Linked DNA regions of Tamandua tetradactyla. The protein of the gene in region 2 interacts with the protein of the main gene of each other region in a pairwise test. Links are inferred from orthologs where the notes say so. Each region holds a gene or a part of one and is shown on either strand. Other genes may lie near its edges. The genes, in order: CYTH4, IPCEF1, CYTH2 and CYTH3.

Region 1 (6,900 bases), on a different chromosome or scaffold from region 2:
AAACCATACCTAATTTCTAAATAAAAAACAATAAAACACACATTTTTCTTTTACCTAACAATACTCAATGGTCCTACATATAACTGGAAACACATTAAATCTCTCCAGAATAGGGTACAAATCCTTGGGTAATATTCATTCTTTTTTTTTTTTTTTTTTTTTTTGTACATGGGCAGGCTCCGGGAATCGAACCCAGGTCCTCTGGCATGGCAGGCAAGCGTCCTGCCATTCATTCTTAAACTTGATATCTTACAACTTAAATAGTATAACATAAACAAAACAGCATTACAGTCCTCGTTTCTGTAACTGATCACATACTCAAAGTTCATATTTATCACTACCTTCTTCCACTACCCATTCCATGTTCCCTTTACCCTCAGCAAGCACTTCAACTGGCCGTGGTTCTTTGCCTGGTGGGGTGACCCAAATCTTCATTCCTGAAGTTTCAGGGCCATTGGTAGTCCTGCCTGGATTGGGTTGTTGCAGTTTTCCATTGATTTTAATCACAGGGCATGGTAGTACTAACAGATGCCCTAGGGGATCTCCTATATTCCAAGAAAACTCTTCTTTACCTCCATTGTGTAGTTGCAGTCCTACTTCCCCCTGATAGTCAGAGTCAATCACCCCAGAAAATAATATAATCCCCTTCTTGGTTTGTTGATCCAGTGGCATAAGTAGCCCGAAGTGACCAGGTGGCAGTCTTAACTTCCAGTTCAATGGAATCATTGTTGTTTCTCCTAGTGGAAGCACTCCCCACTTTGGAACTAAACCTGTAGACCAGCAGAGCTCAAGGTTGCAGGGACAGGAAGCAAAAATTTTCCTAGTGGATCACTAGGGGTAATAGTGAGTGGTACCACTCCCATTTCCACCCCTTGATTCCTGGACCCATGGATCCTGGCTATGGGAGAAACACCATACAGCAGACGCTGATTCAGAGCATATGCAGCTTCCTGGAGAACATTATCCCAGCCTTTCAAGGTATTGCCACCTAGTTGGCACCATAACTGAGTTTTCAAAAAGCCATTCCATCATTCTATCAATCCAGCTCCTTCTGGACGATGGGGAACATGGTAGGACCAGAGAATTCCATGAGCATGTGCCCATTCCTACATGTCATTTGCTGTGAAGTGTGTTCCTTGATCTGAAGCAGTGCTGTGTGGAATACCATGACGATGGATAAGGCATTCTGTAAGCCCACGGATGGTAGTTTTGGCAGAAGCATTGCGTGAAGGGAAAGCAAACCCATATCCAGAGTATGTGTCTATTCCAGTTAGAACAAATCTCTGTCCCATCCATGAAGGGAGTGGTCCAATGTAATCAACCTGCCACCATGTAGCTGGCTGGTCACCTCGGGGAATGGTGCCATATCGGGGGCTGAGTGTGGCTCTCCACTGCTGGCAGATTGGGCACTCAGCAGTGGCTGCAGCCAAGTCAGCCTTGGTGAGTGGAAGTCCACCCATATACATGGAGAGGATGAGTTTACCCTGAAGGGTGAGAATGAGTCTCCCACCTCGTTGTAGTGGAAGAGTAGTGCAGCCTCAGGCCTTGGAGAAGGTACAGCACACTCCTTGGGGGACTGGGGAGAGCCTGGCTGCCACCACATGGAGGGGTTGAGTGTGTGCCCCAGAAATGGCAGAGAGCCCAAGGGTGGCCCCGATGCCTGGAGAGAGTGGAAACAAGAAAAAGGTGATCTCCTCAACGTTCCCCAAGGTTGATTTGGAAGGAGGCAGGCCACTGCATAAGCCCTTGGAAAGGGTGGGACTGCCACCTTCTAAAGCTGAAGGATAAATTACTTTCAGACTTTGAAATCCAGTGGTGTTTGCCCTGTAGATTTTCCTTCCCATTTCTCCCTATAGATCTTGTGACTGTCCCTCCTTTGCATGTTGGCACCAGACAACTTGTTTTGAGATTCACAGGTCCGCAGCCAGAAGAAAATTTTTTGCACCTTAATATTGTTTAAGGTGATGCATGAAGTTGCCAAGTTGACAAGGGGTAGACAAGTGGAAGTTAGATTCAGTTGTCAACTTGGCCAGGTGAAGGCACCTAGTTCTGTTGCCGTGGCCATGAGCTAATGGTGCCTGAGGCTCATCTGTTGCTGATTACATCTGCAGTCGGCTAGGATGAGTGCCTGCTGTAATAAATGACGTTTGACTTAATTGGCTGGTGCTTAAATGAGAGAGCGCAATGTAGCACAGCCCAAGCAGCGCGGCATACCTCATCTCAGCACTCACAGCTCAGCCCAGGTCTTTGGAGATGCAGAAAGGAATCACCTCACAGAAAGTTGTTGGAACCCAGAAGCCTGGAGGGAAGGCCAGCAGAGATTACCCTGAGGCTTCCCACATAAGAAAGAGCCTCAGTTGAAAGTTAGCTGCCTTTCCTCTGAAGAACTAATGAAATAAATTCCCTTTTATTAAAAGCCAATCCATCTCTGGTGTGTTGCATTCCAGCAGCTAGCAAACTAGAAAAGATTGAGAAAGGCTTCTCGACCAAAAGGGGGAAAAGTGAAATGAGGCAAAATAAAGTATCAATGACTGAGAGATTCCAAACAGAGTCGAGAGGTTATCCTTGGAGGTTATTCTTACGCATTAAATAGATATCACCTTGTTATCCAAGATGTAATGGAGAGGCTGGAGAGAACTGCCTGAAAACATGGAGTTGTGTTCCAGTAGCCATGTTTCTTGACGATGACTGTATAATGATATAGCTTTCACAATGTGACTATGATTGTGAAAACCTTGTGTCTGATGCTCCTTTTATCTACCTTATCAACAGACGAATAAAACATACAGGATAAAATTAAATAATAGGGGGAATAAATGTTAAAATAAATTTAGATTGAAATGTTAGTGATCAATGAAAGGGAGGGGTAAGAGGTATGGTATGTATGAATTTTTTTTCTGTTGTCTTTTGTATTTCTTTTTATGAATTAATGCAAATGTTCTAAGAAATGATCATGATGATGAATATGCAATTATGTGATGATATTGTGAATTACTGATTATATATGTAGAATGGAATGATCATAAGTTACGAATGTTTGAGTTTGTTGCCATATATTTTTTTAATTAATTTTAAAAACTCTAAAGAGAAAAAGAAGATAGAGTTTCTTGAGCACCTGCTACATTCCAGCACCTTATACACATTATCTCACTCTGTCTCTTACATAATTCTGAAGTGAGAATAATTATTCCCCTTTTATAGATGCGCAAACTGAGGCCCACTGCAGGTCAGCGTCTTGCCCAAGTTTACACAGGTCCTGCGTGGCAGAGCTGAGAGTCAAACGGCTGAGCCTGACCCCAAAGTCTACATGCTTTAATAGAACAGGTATAAATAAACATCAGATTTGCCTGTGAGTTTCCCAGCAGCCTAGGGGGAAAGGGAAACTGAACACATTACCCAATTGGTCACTAGACAAGAAAAAGGCAGACATTTCTTTGAGAGGAAACAGAGCCCTTCCTAGCACTGAATTCGTTTTGTTTTACTTTTCCCTCAGGTGGAAGTTGGTGAAGGAAATTCTGTGGACCGGAATACCCGGGGTCAGGCTTGACCTGTTCAAGTTGCATGGTCTGTTGGCTTATATGTAGGGGGGGTTGCTGCATAAATGTGTATTGCGTCCTAGAGCAGATTCTGTCTGCTAGTGGCTGTCACACTCTTTGTGAGTGTTTTTCTCTCTCTGTCTCGCTGCCTTCTCTTTTCCTCTCTCTCTCTGTCTCTTTCCTTTCTATTTCTCCCTTGTTTACACCCAAAATGCAAAGGACCCAGGCTACTCAAAACTGCTGGTTTTTAGGAAGTGCTGCTGCGTGGAGAGCCTGCGCGGCAGACCCCGCGGGCCGGGCCAGGACTTCCTCCCCACACAGGGCTGGGCGGGGCCGCCAGACAGGGTCTGGCAGTGGGGGTGACGCATCCCTGGTGGCCAGTCTGAGCAGCAGCTGGGTCGGCAGACCACAGTAGCACGGCCACCTTTCCCTGGGGGCTTCAGAATGGACCTGTGTCAGCCAGGTAAGCGCCTGGAAGGGCAGGGGCTGCGGGGAAGGCTGTGAGTGTGTAGGTGCGTGCAAGTGACAACCTCAGCTCCATGAGGAGGACAGTGGACGGGCAGGGGGAGTCCGGAGGGCACAGGCCGAGACATACCTCCTGTCGAGCACCCCTGTCCCCCGCCAATGCTCAGCAGGACTGACAAAGTTGACGCCAAAGGGCCTGCAGAGAAGACTGGGGCTGGTGGGGACAGAGGCTCAGAGAGGCAGGAGGAATCAAATTTAGAACTTTGCAACGGGGGCTCCTGCCACCGTCCTTCTACCTCCCAGGCAGTGCAGTGAGAAACGGTGGACAGTGGGAAGCTGCGTGTGGAGGGCTGAGAGGGGTTCCACAGGGACAGGTGGCACCTGTGAGGAGGATCCCAGCACTGTGCCCGGGGTAGACCAGCTCTTGGAGGGGAGGGGATGGCCAGTTTGAGAGGGTGAGCATCCTCCCAGGAGGGCATTGACATGGGGGAGGTGGGAAGGGAGGGGCACATGCCCAGGGTGGGCATCCCAGCCCCACATTGGGAGTCCCAGACTGCATTTCTCGGCCCGGGCCTCCATTGCACCCCTCCCCCAGACCCTCACAGACCCAGGCTTGCCCCACCCCACCTCCAGTCAGCTTTGGGTCCCCTCCCTGGACTCTGCACTCAGAGACCTGTACATGGGGGAGTCCACGGAGTTGGGGCCACCCTGAGCTCCTCGGCCACAACGTGCACCAAGACAGGCCAGGCATAGGACAGAGCACTCAGCACTCAGGGCACAGAGGTTGGGGGCTCTGTGCAAGCCCACCTGACCCTGGGGCTCAGCATCCCCACCTGTTAAGGGGTAACCTTGCCCTCCGTTCCCTAGAAAATAGTCTTTCCCATCCAGAAAGGGTTGGCAGTTGTCTTATCTCATGTGAGCTTCGCAGTCTCTATAAAAAGGTGGGGGCAGGAACTGTTGCTTCGTTTAACAGAAATGGAAACTGAGGCTGGGCAGGTAAATAGCTTGCTCACTGCTTCATGGGCAAGAGGGAACCAGGCCCCGGACACTGGTGGGCTCTTCTGACTTTGGACTGGCTTGGACCTGGCCAGGGGGTTTCTTCAGTGGCCTCCAGGACTTTTGAGACCCCAAGGCGACTCTGGGCTCCCAGGCCTGGTCATAAGTCCCCTCCTCCACTCTCTCGCTGTGTGATCCTGGGTAAGACGGCCAACCTCTCTGGACCTCAGTGTCCTCTTCTGTAGAATAGGAAGAATGGTGCCTGCCTCACAGGATCCTGGAAGGATTAAATGTGTGAATTGATGTAAAGTATCTGGGAAGCCCAACAGCTCCAGGTGGGTGTCAAGCTGTGTCCCAGTTTGGGGTAGAGCTATTAACAAATCAGGCAAAATGCCCCCTCGCCCTCATGGGCTGGCTCTCCCGGGGGCGGGTGGGGCAGGAGGATGGACAATAAATCTGTTCTAATATGTCAGCTGGTGATGAATGTGGTGGACAAAAGTGCAGAGTCTGAGGGAGGGGAGGGAGCAGCCCATGTGGTTTCTGGAGAAAGAACCTTCCTGGCAGAGGGGACAGCCAGCACGAAGGCCCAGATTTGGGACCGAGACAGGCTTCTTGTGTAATGGTGATGATGGTGTTGATGATAGTGACATCTGTCTGGTCGGTGCAAGGGCCCTGAGGCCTTTTGGGGAAGCCAAAGATGCTGCTCAGAGGCAAAGGAGGGGAACTGGAATGAGAAGGGGGAGGTGGGGGCTGGGGAGAGGCCGTGGCTGAGAAATTCCCCAGTTCTGTGGTGAAAGAGGAAAAAAGGCTATGAAGTTGGGAGAGAATGGGACAAGGCTGTGTCCCTATGAGGCAGAAAGAAGGGCTGGAAGAGGGACATGTCCCTGCATCCTGAGTCTCAGAAGTTTCCAGCATTGCCTGGAATTCCAGAACATAAGGGCTGGGAGAAGCTGTCCAGTTCCTGAAGTTGAGATGACTTCCAGTTCATTTAGCAACAGTACCCTTTCTTCAAACGAAATGCAACACAGACTGAGCAGTTCTGGCCCCATCTCTGGACGTCCCACCCACCACCTCCCATGAAGTAGACCAGGGAGGGCTCCAGGGAACACAGTTAGAGAAACACTGGCCCATTTCAAAAGCTCCCGTTTGACAGATGTGTCAGAGGAGGCCGAGAGAAGGGCCACACCCCCTGTCCCCTGACGCTCTGTCCAGTGCTCTCTCCCTGACACCCCTGCTTCTCCTGTGGCCTTTTTGGGGACAGATGGCTCAGACTGTACAGCTCAGTGAATGTGTCTTAGGTGGGTATTAGGAGGCGAGAAGAGGCCCAGCAAGGGGCTGTGTCTGGGTCAAGGTTACTCAGCAGATGAGTGGCAGAGCTGACGTGAAGGTGAGATGGGGCGGTGATGACATCCTGCTGAGAACTGCCTCCCCCCTCCCACGGCCTGTCTTTCCACCGTTATTGCTTCATTCTTCTGCAGTTTAACAGGCTGAAGTCCTTAGGACCAGGGATGACTGTCCCCATGATGCACATGAGGAAACGAGGCCCCCAGAGGCCTGGCTTGTCCAATGTCACATAGCCAGGAAGTGGCAGAGCAGGGACAAGAACCGGTATGCTGGAAAAGAAAGAGCCCGAGGTTCGCCTGGCCGTAGGAGAGAGAAGGGAGGGGAGGGGCCTCCAGGGAAGGCCGGAAGATGAGTCACTGCTGTGCTTCACACTGGCCTGAGAGAGGAAATGGACTGGGGGCAATGTAGGTGGTCTGTTGGAAGATTTGGGTCTCCGATGATTTGTTCGTTTGTTCATTCATTTGTTTTATAACCCATCCTGGGTGTCCAGGTCCTGTACTGGGCAATGCTGGGGACAGTAGGGAGCCACTGGTGCAGGACATGGGGGAGGGCGAGACAC
Region 2 (7,788 bases):
GGATTGTGGATTGATGAGAAAAATCTTCCTCTCAAATGTAAACACTATAAATTGAAATTAAGTTCATGATTTATTGAATAAAAGAAACTCAGCACAGCTAGGAGAACTCACAAACAGGAGTAAATATAGCATATCTCAGGAAGCTTTCCTTACTCTCAGAATTCCCAGTATGGATGTATAGTGACTGGGGACAATATCTGGTCAAGGCACAGTTTTGCTGCATCTAGAAGTTTAAAGCTTTTCATACTAGGGGCTTATATCACTATTCAGGAAGAACTTGTCATCCAAGAAGTAATATTTCCTTCTGTGGGAGCATTAATTAGTAGATACTGTTAGATGACCATCCACTATCCATCTGCCCCTTATTTTTACTAACAGAACTCCTATTGTGTTTGAGACATCAGTATACCCAGCTAGTAACTATAGTTCCTGTTCTAGTTTGCTAGCTGCCAGAATGCAATATACCAGAAATGGAATGGCTTTTAAAAAGGGGAATTTAATGAGTTTATAGTTCTAAGGCCAAGAAAATGTCCCAATTAAAACAAGTCTATAGAAATGTCCAATCAAAGGCATCCAGGGGAAGATGCCTTGGTTCAAGAAGGCCAGAAGGCACCTGGCAAACACAGTCAGGGTTCCTCTCTCGGCTGAAAGGGCACATGGTGAACACAACGTCATCTGCTAGCTTTGTCTCCTGGCTTTCTGTTTCATGAAGCTCCCAGGGAGGCATTTTCCTTCTTTGTCTCCAAAGACCGCTGGCTGGTGGACTCAGCTTTGTGGTGCTGCAGCATTCTCTGCTCTCTCCGAATCTCCTGGACTTCTGCAGATACAGTATATATACTGAATTGATGTATGTTGCTGTTTTATCCATAGCTATGCATCTAAGAATTAATGGGTGGAAGTGAGAGTGGTACGTCTTATTACTACAATTACTGACCACTGGCAGAGTTTTACTTTATCCCTCTGACTTTGGTCTTGATGGATGTAAAGGTACTAGAATTCAAGGAAAGAATTCTTTCTGCAAGGATTACAATTATTGTTCATTGAATTGGAAGCTGAGTTGACTGCCACTAGGCTATTTGGGGTCCAACAGGATGTACAGGTCAAAGGGTTTATTCTGTTTGGATGGGAGACTGATCCCAATTATCAAGGAGTTAGCTGCTGCATAATGTAGGCAGAAATGAGGTTGTGTAGAAACCAAGGAATTCTTTAGAGCACCTTCTAGTGCCCAGTGATAGAAGATAAAGATTACAGAGTCACATTGATGGTGAGACCATCAATAACTTAGAGTATCTTAGATTTCTTTCTGCGTAAACGAGGCAGAGTAAATTCTATAGTTTGTAACAGGCACCCCGACTGATAACATTACTGAATTTCCGTGCCCCTGAATCAAATTCAGTGCCCTGAAGTCCCATTTTCACCCAGGGGAGATGGCATGGCCAGTGTGCAGGTCACCCAGGTTGAAGTCTCTGCCTCCTGATCTCCAGCATGCCAGGACTCATACTTCACACACTTACTCTCTTCTTTCCTACTGCAGGGTAACTTCAAGTGCTGGTGACCGCTGGGTTTTAGATCCTATTTAAGACTGAGCAATACAGATCAGATCAGATATTGTAAGCAAGTGGGTGGAGCTTGTCTACTGATAGGTTATCCTCCAGCATATGCTGAGTGACATTCTAGTGCCAGAAGGTAGAGTTTTTGCTCTGGAGCACCCATCCCCACATAAGCTATCTGTAGTCCCTGCATAATTTCAATTTATTTATAGATGAGTCCTCTGGCCTAGGGTGGAGTGACATGGCTGCCTGACAGGATCCTATGGGTATGGTTAAAATCTTGGCATATAAAAATGGTGTGAAAGAGGAGCATGGGAAAGGGGCTAGATTTTTACAGACTTTCAAGTAATCTTCCTGTTTTCAGTCCCATCACATATTCATATTTGCTGATTTCTTGTAGCTTTTTGAGTCCTAATCATCTTGGGTATGCTGCCCCACAGATGAATAGTTTCTTCCTCCATAATCCTTTCCTTAATAACACTATGCCGTGGTTCCCTATTTACCTTCATCGGTCATTGCTCTCCCTTCAGCTTCCCATCTTCTAGAAATCTGGTCAGATCTGTCCAACTCTAATGATCTCACCCCAATTTTGTTTTTGTTATTGTGGGTTTCTATCTTTTTTATAGTGCTCCTGTCAATTTTAGGGAGGTCTTGGGAGGAAATGGAAGAAGCAAGGAAAGTCTGTAGTCATTCCGCCACCTTGAACTACAAGCCAGCCACCTTGAGGATTATTCAGTTCTACACATCAGGTTATCTTGGCTCAGAGAATTAAGTGGCTCCAGTCTTGATCCCATACTTATAAATAACATGTACTTTGATGGTATCTTTGATGATGGCATCTAAAAGCCCAAAGAGAAACAAGTCTCTCCTATTGATGTCTGCAAGTGTTCCTTCAATATCTAGTATTCTCTGGATGCTACATAAAGCAGGGAACTAGAAGAACAACTCAATGCAGGGAGAAAATGAGGTGACGCTTATCAGAAATAGAGGCTTACACAAAAATGAAACCATGTTTCTGGTCAAAACGTGCAGCATCTTCTTTTAATCTTTTCACTCTTCTACAGGTATAATTTTGATCTCCTTATGAAATGAATATATAGAAAATGAGAAGCTGGAGACCAGGGACTGAAGTAGTTTCCAACTATTATCTATTCCCCAAAGGTAACTAACTATTTTTCCCAAATAGTGGCTTTATGTATATATACCTGTTCCTCTGCTCTGCCAACAACAGTATTTATTTTCAGTGCAGTTTTTATTGACATTTGGGTTGTGAAGTATGGGGTATGTTTGGATGTAGACCATGTTTAATCTATAAATTAAAAAAAAAAAGAGCTTCTGACCATCTAAAGCAGAGACATAAAACATGCCATACAGAGGATTTCCACTTGGCTTTTTAAATGTTGCCCTTGATCTTTTGCCAGTTAAATTGCAAATCATGTGACACTGGTTTCTGTCAGGAATGCCAGATGTTACAAACACATCATTAAATTAGGAAGCTCTAAGGTCAACGGAATTCTCTACTCAGAATGACCCTTTTCTTCTTTCTCCCAGTCGTCTGCCTGCCAGTAAAACAGACCTTCTAATTGCCTATGGACAAAGCTATCAGGCTCACAAAGCAAGATGGAAGAAGTGATTTGCTTTTGCATTATGAGACATTGGTGGGAGCCACAGGCAAGGCAGCCCTGCCGGGTCATTCTTAGGAAGGAGCAGATTCATTGCGTGTTGAGAGGAGAAAGACCAAGTGTCAGGCAATTCTGATCCAGGGAATTCTTTTTATTGAAATTGCATCAGCTCCCTTCCAGATGCTAAACTAATTTTATAGTTTAGTTTAGGTTTTTGTTTGCATGTTAATGTATCTGTTTCTTGGACATGAAATGATAAGGGTCATTCAGTTTTCAGGTGTGTTCTGTGAGGTTGACTTGGACATGAAATGATAAGGGTCATTCAGTTTTCAGGTGTGTTCTGTGAGGTTGATAATAATTAGAGAGAGCTGCAGGCTAATTTAATGCCTGGATGAAAGTCTCAGTTTTTATTTCATTGGTATGACTGTATAGATGATTTTACCTTTAGACTGGTCTTCCCTCTTATTGTATTTGGCTTGACAGGGGCAACTTGATCTTGGAGAGAAGTCTTGAATACTGGGTACACGGGTAGTTCAGAGGTTAGAATGCCCGCCTTTCATGCAGGAGACCCGGGTTCGATATCTGGACCATGCCCCCCCCCAAAAAAAAAATAAATAAATAAAAAGTCTTATATATTTTGGTAGGCCACCATCTAAGATAGCCCCCTGTGATCCCCACCTCTGGGTATTCGTGCCTTGTATCATTCCCTCTTAGTGAGGGTACACTGGCCTTAGTGACTCACTTCTTAGTGACTCATAAAGAGAATATGGCAAAAGTGACAGGATATCACTTCTGAGATTAGGTTACAAATAACTGTGACCTCTGTCTCATTCTCTCTCTCATTCTCTTTCTCTCTCTCTCTCTCACTTGCTTGCTCTGGCTTTGTTGTCAGTTGCCCTTAGGAGAGGCCCATGTGGCAAGGAACTGAAGGTGGTTTGGGGCCAATAGCTAGAACTGAACTGAAGTCCCCAGACAAGAGCTCATGAGAATCTGAATCCTATCCATGACCATGTGAGTGAGCATGGGAGAGGTTCATTCCCTGGGTGAGCCTCTGGATGACTGCAGCCCAGCCAACAGCGTGATGCCACCTGGTGAGAGACACCAGCCAAGCCATGCCCAGATTCTTGCAGAAAATATAACATGATAAACACTTTTTATTTTAAGCCTCTAAGTTCTGTGGTACTCTATTATGCAATGACTGAGAAATAGTGTGCATGCTAAGGGTACGGCTCCCACATTTAGAAAGATTGCCTTGGTTATGAGCCCATTGCTAATGATTTATTTCCTTTTCTTTGAAAGCAGGGTATAAATGAATAAGACTGCATTCTTTCCCCATGGAGGTATAAAGAGACAAGAGCTGGAGTTGAAAAGGGGGGTTTATGGTAGGTGTGAGGCAGGTGGCAGGAATTTAGCAGAGATAAGTTCAAACATCTCTAACTTTCAGTCTGTTGTTTTCTTTTTCTCCTGTGTGAAAGAAAAGCTTTGAAGTTAGAGAATTTATTGTATTTACTGCAGAACAATGGTGGGCTAAGACTTAATTTTGTCTTAAAATGCCTTTTAGAAATTTATTCTTACCTTGTTTATTTAGTAAAATGATTAGGAGACCAGAAAGGAAGAAAACTCACATGGAGATGAGAACATGAAAGAGGTCAATGATATGTGAAAAAATGTCATCTCACCCTGACATGATGGGAACAGCTCTGCAAAGGACTTCATTCTCAATGCCTGTAAATAAACAGCTTTACCCTCAAACAGGAAAGTGAAGCCATGGAATGTTTGTACCTCTGTTCTGCCAATGGATACACTGCATAGTGTTTAGTGATAGACAAAATCAGTCAGATAGGACATGCCCACTTTGCATGCATTGTGTCCTAGGTGTTGGAATCAAGGAAGGGCTCAATAACAATAAGAAGGAAGAACAATAAAATTGAGGAAGTAAGATGGCACTTCCTCTTCTTTCGTAAGAGTTTTATTCTCTGGTCAGCTTTGAATGGCAGACCTGTGTAGACTGAGCCTCCAGAGCTCTAGCTGCTTAGAGTGGAATTCTATTATGAATTTTCTGAATTCAGGGATAAAACAACAGCTCTCGGATTTACTCTCTTCTTATTGCATGTAAGTAAAACCACTCCTTGACTAATGCATGGGAAGTAATTGGTTGGCATGTTGAGATAGAAAAGCAATTGATACCCTAACACTATCTTTAGAATAGTGAGTTCTGAAATGTGGTTCTTGGGATATCATATTTGCGTAGCTCTTCATAAATCCACTGCTGTTATGTGCTGTGTTAAAGGCATTTTCTAACTTTGTTAAAGCTTAGAGGGATAGAGTTGTGTACTTACTGTGCTTCTCTCTTTTTCTTAAATGGATGTTATGTTGATAGCTGTTAGAACTGCAGACTGTGGGTTTGATTTAGGGACGCACAATTCAGTGTTTGTTTGGGTCCTAAAGAGTTCATTTTGAAAAACATTGCGGCTGCCCACTTTTGAGTAATGTGCTTTTTGTGGAGAATCCCCCTTTGTATCAGGCAGCTGGAGGGGATTTTACTTTTCAATAAAAGTCACAGGCTTGAAAAAATATGAAAAGGAAAGCTAAGGTGAGGCAGGTACAAGGCTTTTACCACAGGCCTTTAGGGTGGTTGGTTTTCTTTGCTTGGGTGTATGTGAAAAAAATTTTAATTAGAGGAGTTAGAATCACAACCCACTAAGACATGTTTGATTATAGAAGTGGACTTTCTAGTCTTCAGAGGCTTCTGTGTTCCTAGTACTGTCCTCTACCCTAAAAAGGCATAGGCAGAATCCTCTGGAGGTATTAATTTTACATTGGAAATTGAAACACAAAGAACACAGTTTCCTTTCTGCTCGTATCATGCAGTTGAGGAGGAAAAGGAATTGTTTGCATATTTGTTGATGTGCCCACTCTTTGATTTACCTTTTAATTTTTTTTCTTTCCTTCTCTTTATATATCAAGTGTCTTTTCTAGAGAGAGTCCACGTATAAATTACTTCAGGCAAGTGGCGTTAAGCAAGCGTGCATCATTAGACTATGGAAATAGGAAGTTCTTTCCTGTGGTAGTTTGCTGTGGCAATAAGAGATAAGAAATTACTTCATGGCTATTGCCTGAGACTTTCCTTTTGACTTGAGTATCCTTCTTGAGCTGCTCACTTCTCCTTTCCATCCACCTTGGAGGCTGGGCTGTGTGTGCTGATAACCAGAGCACAGGCTAACAATTTGCAAGCAGATGTAACATGGCTGTGGGTATGTGTGGGTGTGTGTACATAGAAAATCCTAAAAAAGAAAAATAGGCCTTTTGGTGTTGAAGAAAATCCTGCAAATGCAGAAATTACTGTACCCGCGGGACTCAGAACAATGCCTGACGCATCTTATACTTAGTAACCATTTGTTGAATGAGTGAATAATTAGGATGTTCATATACTGAGTGTGGTGGGGGTAGTCATTGCTTTATTTCTCTTACCCAGGAGGATTTGGTAACATGTAAGGGGATGGGGGAAGAGGTCAAAGTGAAGCAGGAGAGGAGGAGAATATGAGGGTGTGAAAAGAAGAAAGACTATGCAAAAGAGAGATGATAAGAAACCCTAGGGTAGAAAAGTGGAAGGGATGGCAAGGTGAGTCGTAAGTGGTGTCGGTGGTGTTGAAAGTGGACATATTGGTGTTGAAGGCAGTGGGGGTGGTGGTGGAAGTGGTGGAGGTAGAAGTGGGCAGAGGTGACAGAGGTGACAGTAGAAATGTGGTGGTGGAGGTGGTGTTGGAGGAATTGCTGGAGATAGTGGTGTGTTGGAAGTGATGGTAGAGGTGGTGTTGGAGGCGTTGTTGGAAATGGTGGGAGAGGTGTGTTTTAGTTTACTAGAGCTGCCAGAATGCAACACACCAGAGAGGGATCAGCTTTTAATAAGGGAATTTATTTAGTTACAAATTTATAATTTCTTCAGAAGAAAGGCAGCTGGCTTTCCCCTAAGTTTCTCTGTCACATGGGAAGGCACACAGTGAACATTTGCTGGGCTTCCCTCCCAGCTTCTGGGTTCAGTCGGCACTCCTGGGATGATTCCTTTTGACATCTCCAAACGTCTGGGTCAAGTACTGAGATGAGGTATGCTGAGCTGCTGAGCTCTTTTTTGACCTCTCTCTTTTAAGCCTTCAGCTAATTAAATTAAATAGTGTCACTCATTGTTGAAGGCACTCCCTTAGTTGACTGCAGATGTAATCAGCCATACATGAACTTCATATGCTGATGATTTAAGTCCACAACAAGAGAACAATGGGGCGTCATCACCTGGCCAAGTAGACACCTGAACCTAACTATCACAAGTTGGTAGAGGAGAGATTGGTGGTGGAGGTGGTAAAGATGGTGGTGGTGACAGAGGTGGTGGTGTTTGAGATGGTGATAGTGGTGAGTTTGGGGAGGGGAGTGCAATACAGCAGGGAGAAAACCTACCTTTGGTGTCAGACACCTGTTCAAAATCTGTATGCACCACTTACAAGTTGTATCACCTCTGAACTACTAGAAGGGGGTGTTTATAATATAGTCACCATTTTGGGCTGTTGTGTGAGGATTAGAAATATGATTGTATAGTGCCTGCACTTCATGGATCTTCACTAAAT
Region 3 (7,518 bases), on a different chromosome or scaffold from region 2:
GGAGCCAGGCCCCCAGCCCCTCCTCTCTGACCCAGTTAGGGGAGGAGCCAGGCCCCCAGCCCTTCCTCCCTCAGACCCTGGAGCCCGGGCTCCCACCTGTGGACTGGAAAACCCCAGGGTTGCACAGGCAGTATCTCTGGGCGAAGGCCTCCATCATCCGGTCGATTTTCTGGGCCTCTCCAGGGAGGCGGAAGCTCCATAGAAACTGCCTGTAAGAGGAGGGGCCGGGTATGGATGGCGGGCTGGCAGGACCCCCTCCCCCACGGTCAGTACCTGTGTTTGGAACTGGCCAATAAGAACTCCAAATCTCTCCTGGACTCAACAGTTGTTTCAAGGATAGATATGTGATTATCTGACTAATGAGCACCACCTCTGAGAATTTTGAAGGACTTATATAGCAACTGCTTCTATTTTTCTGCTGAGGTTGCTCTGTAGGTCTAATGGTTGCTAGAAACTTCTGTTTTCATGTGGGAGGAGGGTCTGCAGAGAGCAGTGCCAACACAGTGGGAAGCATAACCAGGAGCTAAAGTTAACTTCCTGACCCTCTGAGCACCTTAAGTAGTCATTACATGAGTAATTAATTTGCAACTCAGAAAGTCCCAATAGATGCACACCTGCCCTCCCAACCCCTCGCCCTCACCTAAGGGCTTGTACCAGATTGAGGTCGGTGAATTCATGCAGATCCACAAAGGCGTGGAGCACCGCCAGGTTCAGCTCTTCCCTAGGAGGACAGGGACAGATTTACAAACAGAAAGGAGTTTGGGGAGGTTGGTGTGGGAGGAGACCTGAAGCAAAGCCCTGGGAGATAGTGGCTGCTTCCAAACAGTGTGGGCAGTGTCTGCCCGGCCCCCATTGCAGACCTGGCACCAGGGGGCTGGGGGTGGGGGCAGTGCTCAGCACATGCTCATGGCAGGGTCATGGGCTGAGAACCCTAGTTTGACTGCATGAGGGCAGGAGCTGGGGGCATGGGGGACAGGGAGGACCCGCAGGTGCTCTCACCTCTCCCCCAGGTAGTCCCCAATGGCCGTCTTGTTCAGTCCCTCGCCTTTGTACAAGAAGCGGGCGATCTCCTCGGGTGTATTCTGCAGAAGTTCATTCTCCACCAAGAACTGGATGCCCTGAAAGGTAGGAGCTGGGTCTCAGGGCTGGGGCTAGACCACCCTGGTGGTGGTGGAGCCCACCTGCCCATTGTTAACACCCCCAGGAACCCCTTCCCCCTCCCCCAAACAGGGAAGGGCCAGGTTTCCCCTTCAGGCTCCTCCCAGTCCTTCCATCACCTCCCTGCCCTCGTGGCCTTTGCATCTGCTATTCCCTCTGCCTTTGCTGGTTAATTCCAGCACTAAAACCAGGGCCAAGCGAAAAAACCAGATACCCAATACATGCTTCTTGAATGACTGGGACAAACTACAATTGTTTTCGGCAAGAATAATAAAGGGAAAACTGCTAGCAGACAGTTAAGGGTTCTGAAGGCCAGGCCCCAGGCTGGGCTGGGGCTTCTCTGGCCCTTCCTGCACCATGAGGATCTCCATTCTCGTGATCCACTGCTCTGGGTGTGGGTGCTGTGTCAAGAGCTTCCTGAGGGTCAGGCAGAGTCTAACAACTGGGGAGATCTCTGACACCGCCTAGGGCAGAGACAGCCCATAGGAGGCCTTGAGATATGGGTGCTGAATGAATGATGGACTGAAGCAACATTCTTCCTTCACCCCACGAACATTTAACCATCAGTCAAAACTGCCTGGAATGTCACTTCCTCAGGGAAGCCCTCCCTAACTCTACCAGGCTCCCTTCTTGTGTCTGCAGCTCTGGTACTTCCCTCTGTCACAGTACTGGTTAACCCTTTGTGCATGGTCCTGTCCATGTTCCCTACCAGACTCAAGCTCCTCTCAGGATCTAAGGTGATACCAAAAGTGGGTTCAGAAATATGAATAGAAAGGAGAAAAGGCCCTTATAGGCAGGGATACAACCCAAGCAAAGGCAAGGAGGCTGGACCATTTGGTTACGGTTTACAGAATAAACAAACGAACAAATGAATACGTGAATCCAGGGATTAGGATCCAGTGTGTAACCACCCACAGTAAACCTGTCTGTAACCATCACACTTCCACAGGCTGGTGCCAGAACCCCCAAATGGATCCCAGCTCCCAAGGTCCCAAAGCACCTTCTTAGGGTCCATATTGAACTTCTTCCTGCCCATTGCCATCTTCCGGTTCCGCTGCAAGGTCTTACTGCAGGGGCAGAGGGTAGGGGGTGGCGGGTCAGTACCTGGGCAGTTCTAGCCCAGGCCCCCACAGCCCCAGTCCCAGCCCTCACCTGCCCTCATTGGCCTCCAGACCCTCCACCTCGCTCATGGCTTCGCTAAGCTCTTCCCGCAGGCGCTGGATCTCCACCAACAGCTCCTGCTTCCGCCGTCGGATGTTCTCCAGCTCCATCCGTTCCTCTGGAGTCAGGTCTGGGGGTTCTACAGGCAGAAGTCAAGGGCAGAGATCAGGTCTCGGGGCTCCAGGACCTGGATTCTTACAATCTGGGGGAAGGATGGAGCTCGGGGCAGGCAGGACTCCCTAGGTCCTGGGGGAGAATACGAATGAGGGTGCTGACTCCTGTGTCTGAGGAAAGGCAGGCTGGGAGGCTGGGATGCCTGGTGTCTGAAGGAGGAAGGGGCTGGAGGCTGAGTTCTTCCATCTAGGGAAGGAAGTGCTGGGGAAGGAGAGGACTCCGGGCTCCTGGGTCTGAGAGAGAGGGGGACCGGGAGCCCGAACTTCCAGGTCCATTACTTGGGAGGGGGCTGAGGCCTTGGTTTTCTGACTCCATTACTGGCGAAGTGGCGGGGGCCCGGGCTCTCCGGTCCTGAGCGAAGATGGGGCCGGGCAGCCGGACTCCCGGGTCCATGGGAATAGCTAAGGCGGGGCCAGCTGGTGACAGGCTGTAGGGGTTGGGACCGGGGGGCGGGGCATTGGGGGTCCCCGCCCCCGCCTCCGCGGGCCCTGCGAAGCCCCGAAGGTTCCTCCCCGCCCCGCTCCCGGCAGGCACCGGGCTCGACCGGCCTCGCCTCCCCGCTCCATCCCGCCCCCTCCCGCCGCCACCGGAAACAGGCTCAGCCCAAACAATGGCCTGGAAGGCTTCGCTCTCGGGCTTCGCCGGAAGCCCGTCCCGCACTCCACAAAAGCGGGGCGACGACGGGGCCGCGCAGTTGGGGCGGCGCACGCCGGACGGGGGCTGTGGGGGACACCCGCCGCGGAACGCTTGGGACCAGACGCCCCATCCGCTCCCGGCCGGCCCCGCCCCTCCCCGACCTACCATAGACACCGTCCTCCATGGCGGCTAGGAAGGCCCGCGGGGAGTCCGGGGCGGTGCCGCCGGTCGGACCGGGATCCTCGTTGGCCCGCGGGCTCGGGTGAGCCCGCTCAAACGCCCCGGGAGCCACCGCCGCCTCCTCAGCGCCAGTCCTCAGCGCTGAAAAGACTCTCCCTTCGCCTCCCAACCGCCCCGCCGGTAGGGACCGCCCCTCGTTTTGACACTGTCCAATCCACGGCGTGGCCTCTCGTTTGCCCCGCCCCCGACACCGAAGGACCGTCCTCCAGCACCAATGGGCGCATGAGGAGCTGAGATAGGAATGTCGGGCTGGGGGTAGACGGTCGGTGGGGCCAATCGGAGCGCGGTCAGGGCGCCAGGCCCCGCCTCCGGAGCAAAAGAATGCTCTTTGCAGGAGTGCCCACCAATGAGAAGCCTTGGAAATGAGTTGCATGGAGGTGGTAATGTGCGGGAACCTAGAGAAGTGCGCCTGCGCTCGGGCTCTGGACACAAGACTTGTTCAACCATGCCCCGCCTCTAGTAATGAATTGTTGGTGGGGGGGTGGTTGGGGTGGTACTTTTGTTAGGTCTGTTGCCAAGGGGTGGGGCCACAGCTGTCGGTTGTTCCTTTGAGCCACACCTCCTAGCAGACTAGGCTTGCTTTTGACCTCAGCGGTTGCCATGCAACCGGGTGCCGCTTGGCTCACCTTCCTTATGGCCTTTCTCCTCTCAGGCCCCTCCTCTTTCCACACCCTCTTTATTTATTTATTTATTTTACGCCCTCCTGCGTAGTCATCAGCTCTTTCTCCTAAATGCTCTGCTATTGGGGATCTGTCCTGGAGACTGAGACAATAGGAGGCTACAGGCTGCGCCTTCCTGGCCCCTTCTGCTCCTCAGGCTCTCCCCCTCTCCCCTCCCCTCAATGCTCCATGCGTCCTCTTAAACTCCTCCCCCCCCAGTTTAGCATCCTCCTCCAAACCCTTCCCCTTAGCATCCTCCCCCGTAAGAAAACACCCCTTTTCTCAGCATCCTTCCTCCCTCCGAGTCCTTTCCTTCCTCTGAGACGGTTCCACCTCCCTTCCCCAGCCTCTCCTTCCCATACCTTGCTGGGAAAGCCGGTGCAACGTCCGGGCCCGGTGGGGAAGCTGAGCCCTGCTGAACTGGGGCTGAGGTGCTGTCTGAGCATCGCCCTCATTGGTCGCCCCTGGGCTGGGCAAGTGGGGTCGGATTCAGGGCCAGGGCTTGGTTAAGCTGTCGGATTAGACACGGAGCCTCTTAATCCCTTCGCTGACCTTTCTGAGAGGCTCAGACCTTGCCCCCCCACACCCCCAGTGGAGACCCCGGTCGTACCAGCCCTGCCCCCTTCTCTCTTTCCCAACAGACACACCCCCTCCCTTCACTACCATCTTAATACCCTTGCCCACCTCTGTGTTTCCGTTGTGCCCCTCCCTACCTCAGACACGCTGGGCTGGGAGAGAGCAGCCCACTAATTAATCCCATCCGGTTATTACCGAAGGATGAGAGGGGGTTGGGGAGGCCAGAAGTTGGGGCCTGGGTTGAGGCAACACGTAAGCAGGCTGACAGGCAATGACAGTGCCTGTCTTCAGTCCTGGGACACAGGGGTGCGAGGTGCCCTTCTCACTGGCCCTGGCTCCCTCTGTGGCTGGCTCCAAGCCTCCGGGGCACTCAGGTAGATGGGAACATGGGCAGAAGGGCAAGCCTGAGGACCCGTGCCCCGGAAACATTCACAGACACACCCACCAAGTCTCCCAGTTCTTTAATCTGAGGGACAGATCTCCCCCTAAAACACAGGCTTCCCCCACAGTGGGAAGAGCGCTGGCATCAGAGCTACCCCTTTCTCCTTCCCCAGCCCCTCCCCACCCAGCAAGCTGGACCGGGGAAGTGTTGATTTTGGCCCTGGACCACAGCCCACATCATACCCCTCGCCTGCCGTCTGCCCTGTGACTTAGATACCAAGTTCAGAGCCAGTCTCCATGAGTATCTCCCATCTCAGCGTTCCAGGGCTGGGGAGACTCTCACCCCCACCACAACCTTCAGTAAGATGAGAAGCCATCCTGCTGGAAGGGTCCTTGGAGAATGTCAAGTTTCAATGCCCTGTTTTACAGATGGGGAAACTGATGTGGAGGGGAGTTATTTGCCCTAGGTCACACAGTAAGTTGGTGCTAAGTTGAGATTTACAGCAAAGCCTCCCAGATCCTTGTAAGGACTCGGTTCCAATTAGCTCATGCTCAATTTCTAACCTTGTTGTAGGAATGAGGGGAAATATATATCATATATATATATAATACATATATGTATAACATCTTTAAGAAATAGATATACATCACTAGGTGTAGGTTTCCAGAGCTTTCTAGACTCAACAGCCTTGTGTCTCCCCCTTCCCTTACTCGTTAATCAGCCCTGCTACCTACAAGGTTTCACCTGGGCTCTCATCTTCTTGGACAGCCCAGAAATTCTGCTTAGCAATTCCTGGGCCCACCTCCAAGAACTACCAAGCACTCCATCTGGAGGTGATCAGAATTTCTAGGCCTCTGGTAATGGGCAACTCCAGATCCCTGAAGCCTCGATTCCTTTTGGCATTACAGAACCACAAAGAAGTTTGCTCTATCAGTTAACAATCTAGAATCATTGAGATTCTCAATACCACTGGGCAAACCAGAACCAGTATATCAAAATCACCACTCCTTCCTTGACTGTGTGATCAATAGGACCTGCAGAATCCACATTCCTTTGGGCAATCTAGAATGATACTTTAAAAACAAACTCTGAGTCATTCCGAAGCAGTGATTATCCTTTTGGTTGGATGTTGGCCAGTCAGTGGTTTGGAGTTTAACTAATATCAAAAACTGCCAATCTATCATTTCAGTACTTCCAGACCCACAGACTCTCCATTGCTTTGTGCATTTTAGAAACATAACTCTTGAATTTCTGGAGTGGTTTGACTCTCTAGGTCAAACCTGGTTGTGAATCACCAGTGCTTCCCTCTCTGATCAAGCTAGACTCACAGAATCTCATCTCTTGGGCTTTCTGGAACCACAGGTCTTGACTTACAGTCCAGATATTCAGTCATTGTCTCTCATCACTCAAGACAGTCTTGACTACTTGGGGCATTCCATAGCCTTCTCTCCTTGGGTGCTGGAGAACACATGATTTGGTTGAGTCTAGAAACAACAGTTCCTTGAGTTTTAGGTCAATTCAGACCTACAAACTCTTGTTCCCTGTTGCTGTTTGAGAACTGTTAAGTTCCTCCCCCAGAGGTAGTCAATACCACTGATTCTTGACTGTTCAACAACCTGGGACAGCCAGCCAGAGGAATCTAGAACTACTAGTCTTTGCCTCTTGAGTGGTCCAGAATTCTGGATTCCTCTGATCTGTTGAGACTCAGGCTCATAAAGGAGTCTCAGATGGAAGCATGGAACACAGAGGGATGAAGGTCCAGTATATCCATGATGAATCCACCAGGCATGGCAGGGTCTACCTAGATAATAATTTACCCAAGGGGCTGTCGGCCTTGGGGAACCATCTGCCCCCATCCCAGAACAGAGCACCATCTCTCCATCTCGTTGCCTCTGAGAAGGGGGCACAAATGTGGAAACACCAGCTTGTGTCATGGGGGCAGAGTCACTGCCAGGGTTGGTGTGAGAACTCGGGGGCTGGCAGCCCCATCTTCTGCCTCTGCCCCATCTGCATCCTTGGACTCTTCTTCTTCATCTTCCTCCTGGCAGCAGCTCAGAGCAAGTTCATTCTCATAACAAAACGCAGCCAGAGAGCCAGGGAATGTAGACTTGGGGCTGTGGGAAGCTTGCTCTGCCCGTTCATCCAGTTCCTTAGCGCTGCACACAGGTGTCCCTGGGACCTCATATGTGCGATGGAAGTGGCGATAGTCAACCTCATACTGGGAACCACGCTGGAAGAGGACTGGCTCAAAACGATGTCCCCAGAGCAGCTCACCAGGGAGGTAGGACGAGCGACATTGTGTGGTCATGGCTGTAGCCTCAACCATGCCCTCGAGAATGACCACCAGCTCGAAGTCAGCCCGGGCCAGCTCGGCACGTCCTAGCTCGTACAGGGGACTGGCAGAGTCAATCTCATGCACGATGGTGATGGGAGACACGAGGAAGATGCGATCAGTGCCGCCATCAAAGCCCACGTCCACATCCTGGTGGTCCAGCGGGATGTACTCACCCTCTGGGGTCACGCGGGGCTGCA
Region 4 (7,526 bases), on a different chromosome or scaffold from region 2:
AACTAGAACAGTAGGTCAGGGACAGACTCTAAAAATGAAGAACTAAATAAAAATAACCCAGCTTTTTATTACTTGTGTGTAATAACTTAATACAGGTACTGCTTTGAATGGGTATAGTCCTTTTCTTCCAAGCACAAAGAGCTCAAAATGGTGGTTTAACTTCATTTTTCCAAGTTTACCACTAAAGGAACTTGTGCTTGCAAAAAGGCAAGTTGCTAATCAATCTAAAAGGAATGAACCTGCCCTTGGTAAGGGGAGGCCAGGGAGCCGGTGTCAAGAGGGCGGATTCCAGGGAAACCGAGTGCAAGGCAAGCCACATGGAACGAATGGAAGGGGAGCCTCCGCACACATTGGGGATCAGAAGATCTGGGCGTTTGAAAATCGAATGAGCTCTGACCCGAGGCTTGGACCTCTGCTATTTGTCTGGGTGGAGTGGAGACTGCCAATCTGCACAAGCTCATCTCCACTCTGATGAGATGCTTTCTTTCCTAGATGAAATTAGATTTCGGAAAATATGACGTTCCTTTCGTGACCGTGAGCTGAGAGCAAGCAGGCGGCTCTGTGTGCCTTCCCCCGAGTGGACCAGACCTCTGAGCAGATGTGACAGATTAGCTGAGGTTCCCATCTGCTGAAGGTCACTGCCGTGTCTGCATTGCTTGACCGTTATCGAAGGAGACAGGAACTGCTCTGTGCACGGTCTGGGAGCAGCCGTAGCTCATGCAGCCCGGACGGCCTCTTTCTGGCCAAGCACAAGGAAACTGGCCTTGGCAGGGTTTTGCCTATGGTGGCCCTTAGTCCTGGGAGAGGAGACTTCTGTACGATTTCACGGACGTCCGCTTGAATGAGGGAGATGAACGTGCAAACGAGAAGTCTTTTTCACCTTTCTCAGAATGTGCACATTGAAGGTTTCTTAAACTATTTCTGCAACAGTCAGAGGGCTGATAAATGGGTTTCAACATGCTTTCAAAAGGTCTCTCACTTTTGATTGCCTTGTTAGTCCAGCAGCTGCCACTAACACTGTTGTTTCTCCCTTTTCTGACCTGGGTAGTCCCTGCAGTGGGTGGCAGAGACAAATTAAACACAGGCCACAGTCTCTGTCTTCCCCAAGGAGCTGCAAAAGTGCAAAGCTGAAACACACGGAACAGGCAATACTCGGAACAGGCAATACTGTGAGAAAGTCTTGTGGGTAAGGTAGGGTAGGGTATCAAAAATTACAATGAAACAATTATTTGTGAATTATTTGCTTAATGACTGGTGCTTCTGGGCCTGGCCATAAGTCTCATGAGGGTATGGAATGATCTGTCTTTTTATTGTCATATTCCCAGCACCTAGGACAGTGCCTGGGATATAGAAATGACCTAAATATTTATTGTCTGATTGAAGGGTCCCAATGAGGTTTGAGGTTCAATACTTGTTATCTTGGAGAGATGTCTGTTGCATAAATTGTTTCCCTTAAAGATTCACTTATAAAGAGTTCAACCTCCGAGTAAACCACTCATAAGCCAGACATAAAGTGATGGCCTAATCTTAGCGGACAAATCAGGATTCTTAGTGTTCCTATGTGTGGGGCAGCGTGCATGTAAGCAGATTGGATTTGTGCTGGGATTTGAGAGAGACCAGGAAGCACCTTTCCTTAAAAAAAAAAATCTCATTTTCCCATTAGATATTATTTTCTTTGGTTGTGCAGGGTCTAAAGTCTTCTAAGTGCCCCTCCCTGTAGTTAGATGTATAAATGACACCCTAAGACTTTATTCCCCCTACATTTTTACAGGCTTTATTGAAATGGGGCCCAGATTTAACTAAAGGGATAATATAATATTCTACTTACAAATAAATGGGCTATGCCTTATTTTGATACCAATTAGATTAGATGGAGAGGGCGACATTATTTACAGGGACTTAGTAAGATCAAGGCAAAGGCCTGGGCTTCTCTGGGTCCAAGGACATGGTAGCTGAGAGGCACTTTTGGCAGAAAAGGGCAGCTGCTTGTAGCTTAGGGAGGAGTGAGCTAAATCCTGTGTTCTTAAATCTTGAACTTTAATTTAAATCAGAATTTTCTGCATCTGTTTCTTTTCCTTTAAATTTACTGTATTGAGGGAATGAACATATATATATATGTAACATAAAATTTGCCATTTTAACCTTTTTTTTTACCAACATTTGCATTTTTTCGAAAATTTGTTACAATCGATGGTCACAGTTTTTTGCAATTACTATTTTTAAACTTTTTTATTGTATGGTATAACATATATACAAAGCAAAGAAATAAAAAAGTAAGTTTTCAAAGCACTCTTCAACAAGTGGTTAAGAGTGGTTAAGAGCCACAGTTCATCACGGGCTACCATATGGTCCTCTCATATTTTTCCTTCTAGCTGCTCCAGAATATAGGAGGCTAGAGGGCTTAAATATTTTTTTATCATCACAGTCGACTTTTTTTCCTTTTTTTTTTGTGAAAAATAACATGTATATGAAAAAGGTATAAATTTCAAAGCACAGCACCACAATTAGTTGTAGAACATATTTCAGACTTTGACATGGATTACTATTTTAGCCATTTTTAAGTTGTATACTCCAATGGCAATATATTTACAATGTTATGCAACCATTGCCATCATCCATTACCAAAACATTTTCATCACCCCAAAGAGAAACTCCGCACCTATTAAGGAATGACTCTCTGCTGCCCTCCATCTCCCTGGCCCAGGTCAATTATTTATATTTCCATTGCTATGAATTTGCGCTTTCTGGATATTTCATACAAGTGAAGTCATACAATATTTGTCCTTCTGTGTCTGGCTCATTTCACTCAAAACAATGTCTTCAAGGTTCACCCCTTGTATAGCAGTATCAGAACTTCATTCCTTTTATGGACGATTGTGCCTGTTTCTTGAGCCAATTATTAACTTTTTACAGTGGTCATGGTTGGATGAATTCTTTCCAGAAAGGAGACAAGACCAAAAAGGGAATCTTTAGGTATCTTCATTGATGCTGTGTTCTGGAGGTCAAGAAACGTTTGTTTGCTTGGAAGTGTTTGGCATAACTGTCAAGAATTCCACAATTGGAATGGAATAATTCAAACTCTGTGAGAAGCATCTATGGATCACACGCCAAGGGACCTAAGGAATTAGGGACTGACATTGACAAGCATTTATAATTGACAGTACTTTTGAGTTCAAAACTCCACATATCACCCTATCATATTATCCAGTTCAAAATATGCTGTCATTTCCCCCCGGTCACTGTGTAGTTATCTCTAAGATAAAGCTGACAGGAACAAGATCAGGAAGCCAAGTTTGTGGGCTGAGTCTTGAACCTAAGTCTTTTGACTCCCTTTTCTGTTACACATTTGTCACATAAACTGCCAAATATCTTATCTGCACCCAGAAGTGTCCCCGAGGGCTTTAGAAATGGAATGCACGTGCTTAATTCTTGAAATTTTCGGGAAATTCAACTCTAACTTCTGGAATCATCCCAGGATCTCCAGCAAACGGTCCATTTTAATAGACGACAGTGGAAAAGGGATCCTTGGATTCAATGAGTCATTTGTGAGGATAAACAGTTACAGGAAAATTTTATTAGGTAGACTCCATCTCCTCCATTACAGTGTTTGCTTTTCTTTAATGCAATTAAGCTCATGCAAAATGAACAGAAAGGCCTGGGTGGGGCCCACACCCAATGCTGCGGGGGAGCAGGGGCAGTAATTAGGAACGTGAAAGATGTGGAGCAGAGACAAGCTGCGGTCTTCTTCCTAGGAGACCAGTGCTTAGGACCCTGGCTGTGCCCCCGGGGGGAAAGTGAATTGAGAGCTCTCTCTCTCATCTCTGTGCGTCTGCATCATAAATCCAGGGCAGCTGGCAGCTTTTCAAGGCAGACTAGAGCTAAACTCCAAGGGCATCTGAGGCTGAACTGGCCAACCTCGTACAGTGCCCGCGCAGGGCTGGGCACAGGTGTGCCCGCTCGGGTTCCCACCTAGCGACAGCGTTCATTCACAAGCCTTACACGCTGTTCATGTGAAAGTGTACGCTGATCCCCAGGAAGGGAGAAGAGGCTCCATTACGCATCAGAGAGCCGAAAAGGCTGCGATGATCCTGAAGGCCGGGGAGACCTAAACTCTCCTGGGCCGCAGGTCGAGGGTCTGACTTGCGAGCACTTGCCTCACCTGGTCTTTTTCCCCGCCTGCACGTGCAAAGAGGACGCCCCCCCCCCCCCCCCGGCCACGGGGATTTGCAGAATGGGGCATTGCTGCGTCTCGGACCCCACATCTGTGCGTAGGTCGCCTAAGGCGGGGAGGCGCGTCTCGATGCCTGGTTCGCCCTGGAGGACCCCCACAAGCCAGAGCGGAGGCGAAGGCGCCCGGGCGGCGGGCCCACGCGGACTGGGCTGCGGGCTCGGGCGGGTTCCCGGGGGCGGGGCCGCGCCGTCTGCAGCCCCGCCCACCGCACCCGGGGGCGGGCCCCTCGGCGTCACGTGACGGCGGTGGCGGCGGCGGCGGGCGGCGCCGAGCGCGAGCGCCCAGCCCGGCCCGAGGAGGCTCCGGGCCGCGACCCCGCAGCCTTCTACGCGCGCTCCGGACCGGCGGTTCCCCCCCTCCGCCATCTGCACCGCGCGCCCCGCCGGCCCGGGGCTCGCCGGCTGCGGGAGTCACGTCAGGATGGATGAAGACGGCGGCGGCGAGGGCGGCGGCGGTGAGTGCCGGAGGTGTGGCCCGCCCGGCCGGCGGCCTGGGGCTGAGGGTCTGGGACGGGCCCGGCGGCGGCGGCGGCGGCTGGGGTCCGGGGTCGGCCTGAGGAAACAGGGCCGGGGGCAGCGCGGGGCCGGCTGGAGACCGCCCGAGGCCCGCGACGCGCCGGGCCCGGAGCCCGAGCCGGGGGGTGGGGGGCGCCGGGGAGGAGCCGGCTGGTGTCGCCGCCGAACCCGAGCGGGGGTCCCGGTGCGGGGCCGCCGGGGAGGCTCGGGCCGGGGCTGCCGGGTGGCTGTTTTGGGGCGCGGGGCCCCCGGCGCGCGACCTTCCCCGCATCCCCTCGCCAAGGGCGTCCACGCCCTCCGGAGCACCCCCCTTTCTGCCTCATTTCTCGGGGAGGCCGGAGGGGGACCGAGTCCACGGGGAACGGGCAGGAGGAAAGTTTCCAGTTGGGGACCCTCCCTGGGAAAAGAGGGGAGGGGGCTAGAGGACTACAAGGAATGACAGTTTTCTTGGCTTTGGGGTCAGACGCGGCCGCTGGAATTGCTTGAGGAGGGGGCAGCGAGGGGACAGGTCTGGACAGGCGTTTTGTGAAACCGTGACCGGTACCGAGTCGGCAATAGAAGGAGTCGCCTGGGCTGGGGGTCGGAGTGACGAGCCGCGGCGGGCAGCCGAGGGCGGGACCCGGGAAGCCTTTTCGGGCGCCTCGGGCGGGGAGGAGAGCGTCCCCGAAGCGGGTCGGGTTGGGGTGGGCACGGCCATGGGGTCTGCGTCCGAGGCTCACGGGCCTGGTGCTGGAAGGCTCTCATGTGTTTGAGATTATCTCGGTGGAATGCAACGCTCAGTCGTGTCGGGGCACGGGCTGCTGCGAATTGCGAGTCTGCGCAGGGGGTGGGTTCTTGTTTTGGCAGGCAAAGGGTTAATGTTCCTTTTATTTTATTTTTATTTTTTTCCGGAACACCCGGAGTTGCGATCCTCTATACTTTTGCTAAAGAGTACCTTTTTTTTTTTTTTTTTAATTTAACTGGCTGACCGAAGTTATCCGAACTCCTTGTAATAAGGAGGCGTTTTGAAAAATCCTAATTACAGGCTGCTCAGCGGTTGCCTGTAAGAATCAGCTGCATCGGATGCTTCGGGATGAAGTGGTTTAATCAAGGTGCCTTCTAGAACTTGAGTGCTCCCGGGAGGGAATTGGTTTTTTTTTTTTTTTGCAGAAAGAAGCAGTGCGGCGGCGGTGGTGGGAAGTTGGCACGAGTGGTGGCATTTGGAGAGTTGGGTTCTCCGCGTGAAAGCGAGGGCCGGCTCTGTGACACCAAGTGGGTGTGTTGTTTATGAAAGAAAGTGTTGTGGAAAGAAGGAGCCCCGTTGCAAAGCCTCCTCCAGCCAGGCTGGCTGCCTGAAGACAGGATCCGGAGCGAAGGATTCCCTGTGGGTGCAGTCTGCCTGTCACAATGTGAATAACCCCGCAGGCAGAGCAGGTTTTCCTTCTCAGAAAGTAGACAGAACGACCGTGATGTTTAAACCTTTGACATTTTCGAGTCCGGGAAGCTGGCTTGGCGATTTTGTTTGCAATTTGCTTTGGACTCTGAGTAAAGAAATGTTGAAGAATTAATTTAGCATTTTTTGAAATACTTAGCTTTAAAATTTGTGTTTTTAAAATAAAGTTCAGCCCTTTGAAAGATAATTTCAGTTATCAGTCAACTGTCAGACAATTGTGATTGTAAAAGACAACATTTTTTGCATATTTTTAGAGTACGATACACAACCTAGAACAGTATTGGGGGTGTCAGTTTCAGCTTTGTTTAAAAAAATAATCTAGTCAAATAGCTGTTATTGCAGAGGCCAAAGACAATTTAAAAGGTCTTTGTGAACGTGTTGGTCAGATTTAAAAGACTCCAAAATTTGATTCCTGCTTACTGCTTTTATAATTTAATTTTTGCCCAGGATGTATTTATTATATGTTCTTTCAATGCAAGATAAGGAGAGAGGATGGTGATATGAATGGTTGGAGTGCAGTTATAAGGAGGAACAAGTGGGGGCTGCGAGATTACAGGAACGCATTGTTAAGTATAACGTGTGCAGAGCATAGTTAAGGCATTTTTAGTTCCTTTGGGACTCGCCTTTCAGTTTTAACAGAACAATTCTTGAGATATGTCTCTACTAGGAAGGTGACTGGCTGGTTTGGCAAGGAGCCACCATCTTAATGACCAGTTTTGGAATATGCTTGAAGTTCCTAATGGACCATCCAGGGCAGGTGCTGTTAAATGACCTTGCTGCCTCCCACCTCATTAATGTAGATAAGAGTCAAGTTTGTGCCTCACTTGAAAAGATGTTCAGCTTCCCTCATTATGAGATAAATATAAATTAAAGCTGTATTGAGTCCCGCCTTTCACCTATCAGGCAGTGCCCCCCTTCCCCCTGGTCTGCAAACTGCCCGCTTGCGAGGCAGTCTCGTTGCTGGTGGAGGTGTAAGTTTGTTTCAGCTTTTTGTGGAAGCAGCTTTGGCCTCTATCCTTTTGGCCTTCAGGTCGTGCCTTGCCCTTCTCCCAGGAGGAGGGTAGGCTGCATTTCCCGGACCTGGGGTAGCTGGCTTCGGCCGAGTCTGGCCGGAGGGAGCCCCCTGAGAGGTTGGGTGGCAGGAGGAAGGGAGAGGCTGGGTTATTTTTCGTGTCCCCTCCTTCAGCCTCAGACAGCGGCTCTGGCAGGTGCCTTGCTTCTTTCCTGGCTCCAGCTCCCACTACCAGGTCCTCTGTGTTTCCATTTCTGCCCAGCGACCCTAACCCCCAACCTTGGAAATCTCCTCCCCTTTACAGGTGGTAGCAGCGTCTTGCTATTGCTAATCTCT

Evidence for each region.
Region 1: the proteins of IPCEF1 (region 2) and CYTH4 interact in binary tests that used the Homo sapiens proteins (3 or more experiments, as listed by UniProt). The link is inferred for Tamandua tetradactyla from reciprocal best matches to the Homo sapiens genes IPCEF1 and CYTH4.
Region 3: the proteins of IPCEF1 (region 2) and CYTH2 interact in binary tests that used the Homo sapiens proteins (3 or more experiments, as listed by UniProt). The link is inferred for Tamandua tetradactyla from reciprocal best matches to the Homo sapiens genes IPCEF1 and CYTH2.
Region 4: the proteins of IPCEF1 (region 2) and CYTH3 interact in binary tests that used the Homo sapiens proteins (3 or more experiments, as listed by UniProt). The link is inferred for Tamandua tetradactyla from reciprocal best matches to the Homo sapiens genes IPCEF1 and CYTH3.

Annotation. Positions count from the first base shown.
Region 1 is NC_135333.1:29,589,139-29,596,038, forward strand, and holds the start of CYTH4 (cytohesin-4), read left to right. Parts: upstream 1-3,882; 5' UTR 3,883-3,980; coding exon 3,981-3,999; intron 4,000-6,900. UniProt on the Homo sapiens protein: Promotes guanine-nucleotide exchange on ARF1 and ARF5. Promotes the activation of ARF factors through replacement of GDP with GTP.
Region 2 is NC_135328.1:146,556,460-146,564,247, reverse strand, and holds the start of IPCEF1 (interactor protein for cytohesin exchange factors 1), read left to right. Parts: upstream 1-4,783; 5' UTR 4,784-5,284; intron 5,285-7,788. UniProt on the Homo sapiens protein: Enhances the promotion of guanine-nucleotide exchange by PSCD2 on ARF6 in a concentration-dependent manner.
Region 3 is NC_135342.1:12,587,068-12,594,585, forward strand, and holds the start of CYTH2 (cytohesin-2), read right to left. Parts: upstream 3,013-7,518; 5' UTR 2,887-3,012; coding exon 2,772-2,886; intron 2,459-2,771; coding exon 2,311-2,458; intron 2,226-2,310; coding exon 2,159-2,225; intron 1,119-2,158; coding exon 1,000-1,118; intron 722-999; coding exon 641-721; intron 210-640; coding exon 97-209; intron 1-96. Other genes in the region: KCNJ14 (ATP-sensitive inward rectifier potassium channel 14), read right to left, coding at 6,917-7,513. UniProt on the Homo sapiens protein: Acts as a guanine-nucleotide exchange factor (GEF). Promotes guanine-nucleotide exchange on ARF1, ARF3 and ARF6. Activates ARF factors through replacement of GDP with GTP.
Region 4 is NC_135349.1:5,669,610-5,677,135, forward strand, and holds the start of CYTH3 (cytohesin-3), read left to right. Parts: upstream 1-4,517; 5' UTR 4,518-4,651; coding exon of another isoform or gene 4,652-4,655; coding exon 4,656-4,698; intron 4,699-5,661; exon of another isoform or gene 5,662-6,266; intron 6,267-7,526. UniProt on the Homo sapiens protein: Promotes guanine-nucleotide exchange on ARF1 and ARF6. Promotes the activation of ARF factors through replacement of GDP with GTP. Plays a role in the epithelial polarization.